Macaca fascicularis: one gene and its partner. The protein of the gene in region 2 purifies or fractionates together with the protein of the main gene of each other region. This does not show direct contact. Links are inferred from orthologs where the notes say so. Each region holds a gene or a part of one and is shown on either strand. Other genes may lie near its edges.

Region 1 (3,518 bases), on a different chromosome or scaffold from region 2:
CTTTCACACTACAAGGCATACACTTCATACTTTCACTCATTCACTTACTCCTTCATTCAAGAATTCTTTCTTTTCAGTCCCTACTGTGGGCACTTTAGTCGGCACCGGGAATATAAAGATGAGTAAGTCGTGGCTTGTGTAGGAGAACAGAGACACTCTTCAGTTTGTTAAGTGCATAAACTAATGGATGTTTCCCTACATACTCATCTTGGGTGATCATCAGCTCCCGTGGTTTGATGATCATCTCTTTGCAAATGCTTCTTAAATCTGTGTCTCTGGCTCTGGCCTGGATATCCACTTGTCTTATGGTCAGATCCATTGCAGGCACCAAAGGAACCTCCAAAGCAGCATCCCCCAAACACACCCATCTTGTCGACACTGTCCTGCAGCTCGCCCTGCTTCACTCCTCTTCATATGCTCAGGAAGTGGCATGGCCATCCTTTTACCAAGTTGCCCAATAAGAAACCTTAGAGTCATCCCAGACTTGCCCTTGCCTCTCTCTCCCACATTCTATCAGATCTCAAAACCTATGAATTCAAGATATATATATGACTCAAGATATATCTGCAACCCATCTGCCTCTCTCTGTCCCCACTGGCCTCTGCTTAGTTCAAACCCTCACTGTTTCTGCGGCAGGCTCCTTCCACTGTCCACCATTCATGTGGCAGCCAAAATGGTCGTCCTAAAAGGCACATGTGACCCTTTCCCTCACATACTGGAAATCCTTCCCAGATGCTCCATGGTGTTCAGGATGAAGTTCGAATTCCTTAGTGTGGAATATTCTGGCCTTTGCTTCTCTACTGGCCTCATCCCTGACCCTCCCTTCTTTGTCAGTTAGACTGAGTGAGGAATTTCTGGGATGTGTCATGATCTCTGTGACTTCTAGTCTGTTGATATCCTGCTTCTCTTGCCTGGAGTTCTCCTCCTTAAGTCCCCCTTTCCCATTCTTTACCTGCTAATTTTTCTGGACTCAACAAAGCCTTCCTGGATCTTTTTAGTCAGGGTTGTGCTACTGGAGCCCCTTGTACATTCTTTTTTTTTTTTTTTTTTTTCCTTCTAAGACGGAATCTCACTCTGTCACCAGGCTGGATTGCAGTGGCGCAGTCTCAGCTCACTGCAATCTCCACCTCCCAGGTTCAAGCAATTCTCTTGCCGCAGCCTCCCGAGTAGCTGGGACTACAGGTGTGCACCACCACGCCCAGCTAATTTTTGTATTTTTAGTAGAGATGGGGTTTCACCATGTTGGCCAGGATGGTCTTGATCTCTTGACCTCGTGATCTGCCTGTCTCAACCTCCCAAAGTGCTGGGATTACAGGCATGAGCCACCGTGCCCAGCCCCATCCTTTTTGAATAGCAATGATCACTCTTGTGTTTTAAGTCACTCTCATTAACTTGAGCTCCTAAAGGCAAGGACTGTCCCATATTTGCCTTTGCACATGGAGCGTGCCACTGGCCTTGCCCACATAATCTCTGTTCCATCAGCAGGTAGCTTTGTTGAGAATTTTGTTTTATCTGCAGACATTAAGCTATTGTTTGGTCATCTCTGTAGTGGAATATGTCAGACAAAGAGCTGACATATTCCACTCTATAGAATGAGGCAGCCGTACCACAGGCATACCAGAGGCTGAAAAAAATGAGCAGTATTGTTCAAGTTCTGTCACCTTCCTGCCTGAGAGAGGAGCAAGACCTGAAAGTCTCAACCTCAGCTCCTCTTTGCTTTACAGATGCTATCTGTGAGCAGCAGCTGATAATGTGCATAAAATCGGGGAACAGGCCAGATGTGGACGACATCATTGAGTACTGCCCAAGAGAAATTATCAGCCTCATGAAGCTGTGCTGGGAAGCGAATCCAGAAGCTCGGCCGACATTTCCTGGTAAGAGCATCTTTTCTGACTGTGTAGGATGCATCCTGTGTGGTGATTTTCCCAGTAAGATGTTGTTAGGAACTTGGTTTGAATCCTCAGAAAACTGAGTTCAACTTTACTTGTGGTTTTAAACTGATTTTCTAGATTTCAAACATGTTGTTCAGTGCAAAGAAGCCATCTCTCAAAAGCATGAAGGCACATAAGGCCTTCTTGTTTCCTTTTTTTGTAACTAACTTTTTAACTTGGGTTTAAATATACATAACTTTCAAATTAACATTGTAACTGTTTTCAAGTGCACTGTTCAGGGGCAGTAAGTACAGTCCCACAGTACGTTCACTCTCCATCATCTCTCTCCCTGCCCCGGCAACCCCCATCCTACTTTCTGTCTCTACGAATTTAACTGCACTGGGTACCGTATATAAGTGGAACCATACAATGTTTGTCCTTTTGTGTCTGGCTGATTCCACCTGGCATGATGTCCTCGAGGTTCATCTGTGTTGTAGCAGATGTCAGAATTTCTTTCCTTTTCAAGGCTGAATAATATTCCATTGTATGAATAGACTGCATTTCGTTTCTCCATTCATCCGTGTATGGGCTTTCACCAGCCTTCTTTGCTTCTTCACCTCTTTTATTTCCATCCCCTCCCTTGTTTAGCTGGCATCTTTAGAAAGTATTTTGCCATTTAGACTGGCCCTGTCATACAGGGATGGGGAAAGGTGCCTGGATGTTTGCTGAGCAGTATTCTATGGTGTGGATGTACCACAGTTTAACTATTCACTCCTTGAAAGACTTGTTTCCAGTTCTTAACTGTTGGGACTAAAGCAGCTGTAAATATTCATGTACATGTTTTTGTGTGAATATAAGTCTTCATTTCTCTGGAATACCAAGGAGTGCAGTAGCTAGGTTGTATGGTAGTTTCATGTACAGTTTATTTAAAAAATTCCCAAACATTTTCCCAGAGGGGCTGTGCCATTTTATATTCGGTGTCTGCGTGATGCAGGTTCTTGCATCCTCACCAGCATTGGGTACCCAGGCTACTCACACTTCTGCTCAGCCAACTACAAATTTATTTGAGTATTCCCACAAGCCCCACTTCAGGTCTGGGAATTCATTAGAAAGACTCACAGAACTCAAGAAAACATTTTACTTATGTCTCCCCTTTTACTGTACTGGGTACAATTCAGAAACAGCCAAATGGAAGAGGTGTACAAGGTGAGGTATGGGAGGAGGGTGTACAGAGCTTCCACAGCCTTTCAGGACACACCACGTTCTGGTGCTTCTATGTGTTCAGCAACCTGAAGCTCTCCACACCTTCCCATTTAAGGTGATTTATGGAAGTTCCATTACATACGCATGATTGATTAAATCATGGTCATTGGTGCTTGAGCTTAATCTCCAGTCCCTCTCTCCTCACTGGAAGTCAAAGGTGGAGCTCAAAGTCCCAACCTTCTAATTATAGCTTGGTCTTTCTGGTTGCTAGCCCCCATTCTGAAGCTGCTTAGTTTTCTGACCCCACCCAAAAGACACTCTTAGAAGACTCCAAGGATTTTAGGTGCTACCTGCCATGAACAAAACCAGACCTTTCTGATTCTCCAAGGTGTCTTATTTTATTGTTTCCTTTCTGTTTAGGGAACTTTCCTTAATCATTCTTTT
Region 2 (3,518 bases):
TTGAGACGGAGTCTCGCTCTGTCGCCCAGGTTGGAGTGCAGTGGCCGGATCTCAGCTCACTGCAAGCTCCGCCTCCCAGGTTTACGCCATTCTCCTGCCTCAGCCTCCCGAGTAGCTGGGACCACAGGCGCCCGCCACCTCGCCCAGCTAGTTTTTTGTATTTTTTTTTAGTAGAGACCGGGTTTCACGGTGTTAGCCAGGATGGTCTCGATCTCCTGACCTCGTGATCCGCCCGTCTCGGCCTCCCAAAGTGCTGGGATTACAGGCTTGAGCCACCGCGCCCGGCCTGTTCATAATATTTTCATATGATCCTTTGCATTTCTGTCCATTGTAATGTGTCTCCTTGTTGTTTTTTTGTTTGTTTGTTTTTTGTTTTCTTTGAGACAGAGTCTCCCTCTGTTGCCCAGGCTGGAGTGCAGTGGGATGATCTCGGCTTACTGCAACTTTCGCCTCCCAGGTTCAAGCGATTCTCGTGACCCAGCCATCCAAGTAACTGGGATTACAGGTGTGCTCCACCATGCCTGGCTTTTTTTTTTTTTTTTTGTATTTTAGTAGAGGTGAGGGTTTGCCATGTTGGCCAGTCCGGTCTCCAACTCCTGGCCTCAGGTGATCCATCTGTCTTGGCCTCCCAAAGTGCTGGGATTATAGGCGTGAGCCACCTCACCTGACCTCCTCATTCATTTTTTATTTGATTTGTCTTCTTTCTTTTGTCTTAGTCTAGTTAAAGGTTTGTTGATTTCATTTCTTTTTTTCAAATAACTAACAGAATTTTGATAGTCTTTTGTATTTTTTTCTAGTCTCTATTTTATTTATTTTTGCTCTGATTTTTATTATTTCTTTTGTTCTGCTAACTGTGGGCTTAGTGTATCTTTTTTTCGTTTCCTTGAGGTATAACATTAAGTCTTGTATTCAAGATCTTTCTTCTTTTTTGATGTAGGCATTTATTGCCATTTCCTCTTAACACTGCTTTTGCTGCATCCCATAAATTTGGTTATGTTATCTTTCCATTTCATTTTCTTAATATATTTTTAAATTTTCCTTTTGATTTCTTCTTTGACACATTGGCTGCTCAAGAGCTTGTTACCATTCAAGTTCTTTGTTCATTTCTTAACCACATTGTTGGCTTGTGGTGGTTGTTGTTGAGTTGGAGTTTTTATATATTTTAGATATTAACCTTTTATCGGATATATAGCTAGTAAATGTTTTCCTCTTCCTGTGGGTTGCCCCTTCACTGTTGATTATCATTTGATGCACAAAAGTTTTTAATTTTTACATAGTGCAATTTATCTATTTTTTTCCTATATTGCTTGTGTTTTGGGGATCACATTCAAGAAATCATTGCCAAATCCAAGGTCATGAAGAATCGTTCCTATGTTTTCTCCTAAGTTTTAGGGTTTTCACTTTTATGTTAGATTTTGGATCCATTTTGAGTTAATTTTTGTATATATGTAAGTCAAAGGTCTGAGGTCATTGTTTTGTGATAAGTCAATATCTAGATTTCCCAAGACCATTTTAAAAAAGATTGTCCTCTCTCAATTAAATGGTCTTGGTACCTTTTCCAAAAATTACTTGATATATATAGTCATGCACCACATAACAACATTTCTGCCAACAACAGACTGGATATATGATGGTGGCTCCAGCAATTATGTAACATACTACACAGGTTTGTAGCCTAGGAGCAAGAGGCTATACCATATAGGCCAGGTGTGTCATAGGCTACACCATCTAGGTTTGTGTAAGCATACTCTCTGATGTTCACACAACACAATCACCTAACAACCCTTTGCTCAGAACAATGTTGATCAATGCATGGCTGTACGTGCAAGTTCATTTCTGGGCTCTCTGATCTAGTCCATTGGTCTATATGTCAGGCACCTTTTAAAATCAGAAGTTCACTATTTAATGTTTGATCCTGTATCCCAATTTTTTAAGTTTGCTGTATTATAACCCCCATTTATAAAAATGTGTATGTGTGCCTGTGTGTCTGTTTGTGTGTGTGTCTGTGTAAGAGAGAGAGAATGAGAGAAAGAGAGAGAGAATAGGCATACCTATGGAAAAATAGTGGAACTAAATGAAACAAAATATTAATGGATGCTATCTTTAGCTGAGATTATCATGTGTGGTTTGTGTATTCTTCTAAAAACTTTCCTTGCCCACATTTTCTGGAATAAACATGTTTAGAAGAGTTTTTCAAGTGAATGTTACTTGGCCTTCCCTGAAATATGAAGGGACGAACAAACATGAAAGGATGTTTGAGAGGTGAGAGCTGCAAGAAAGATGAGGGTTCTGTTTAGCCTTCGTGCCTGGGGTCAAGGGAATGTGAGTGGATCCTGGGAGGGGTGAGCTCTGGAAGCCACTCACACCCATCCCTGCTTTGTCCCCACAGGTCTCAGCTGACTGTGCTCCAATCACCCGACAATCCCTAGATCCCCAGCGAAGAGCGGCTCCACAACAAAAGAGATCCAGCCCCACAGAGGGATTGTGTCCGCCTGGTATGTTTAAGATGGGTCTCTGATCCTTACCCCTCCTCCCCTTGTCTCCATGAGCTTCCAGTCTGTTTCCTTTGCACTTCCTGGTTCTTTATGCCACAGAGAGGCATTGGGTGCCTCCAGCTCAAGGCTCTGTCCTTCTGGAGCCTTCCTGCTAGGTTGGTATCAAGACACACAAATGAATGAGACCGCCAAAGAGACTGATAGGCACCTTGAGGGAGAATTGAGTGGAACAGAGATGGGGCTGGTGAGGCCTCCAGGCAATGGTGACTTTGGGTTGACATCTGGAGGTGGGCAGGGCCAGAGGTGCAGAGAACCAGGAAGAGTGCTCCTAGGAGGGTTCCACTGGAACAATTGCCGGGGGTCAGGGGTTGGGGAAGATGGAGCAACGGCAGGGGACTACTGTGGGGAGTGGAGGGTTACGAAGTTAGAGAGACAGGTGGGTTCAAATCCTACAGAGAGGAAGCTGGATTTTATTTCACGAGTGATGGATGTCCCTGCGAAGTTTTCAGCAGAGGGCCACCAGCATTGGATGTGCATCCTGAGTGCCCACTCCTGGATTGAAGCGGAGCAAGACAGGAAGCAGGTGGAGGGCCTTGAGTGTGAGGCGCTCCCCTGGGATGTTATATGGTGCCCTGTAAGGTCATTTGAGCCCTGAGAGATGCAGCAGGAACCTGGCCTGAAGTGTGCTTGACTGCTGTGTTCACCTCGCACTTCTTTCCCTCTTTCCCCCGCGCGTATGAGGTAAGAATTGATTGCTGCATGAAGGTTTCCAGGGCTGGCAAGTGTGGCAAGCAGTGGCTTGTAAAATCCATTTACAAATTTGCATTTCTTTTCCATGACTAAGGGCCACAGGAAAGGCTTGCCTGAGGGCAAACTCTCACATTGCACGCGTGGGCTTGTCAGGAGCAGAGCATGGAGAAGGAAGAACCCAGTGTGAAGCAGACACAAACTCATCTGTAAATGCTCCTATTGCTGTGGTCCAGAGTCAAGACCAGGGAGCAGGACAGGAATGGGAAGAATTCA

Evidence for each region. The genes of interacting proteins can lie anywhere in the genome.
Region 1: the proteins of TNFRSF10B (region 2) and RIPK1 purify together in Homo sapiens (affinity purification with western blotting, with the first as the bait; 3 studies listed by BioGRID). This does not show direct contact. The link is inferred for Macaca fascicularis from reciprocal best matches to the Homo sapiens genes TNFRSF10B and RIPK1.

The regions. Positions count from the first base shown.
Region 1 is NC_088378.1:169,978,721-169,982,238, reverse strand, and holds part of RIPK1 (receptor-interacting serine/threonine-protein kinase 1), read left to right. Parts: intron 1-1,724; coding exon 1,725-1,874; intron 1,875-3,518. UniProt on the Homo sapiens protein: Serine-threonine kinase which is a key regulator of TNF-mediated apoptosis, necroptosis and inflammatory pathways.
Region 2 is NC_088382.1:26,141,053-26,144,570, reverse strand, and holds part of TNFRSF10B (tumor necrosis factor receptor superfamily member 10B), read left to right. Parts: intron 1-2,389; coding exon 2,390-2,495; exon of another isoform or gene 2,496-3,504; coding exon of another isoform or gene 3,505-3,518. UniProt on the Homo sapiens protein: Receptor for the cytotoxic ligand TNFSF10/TRAIL. The adapter molecule FADD recruits caspase-8 to the activated receptor.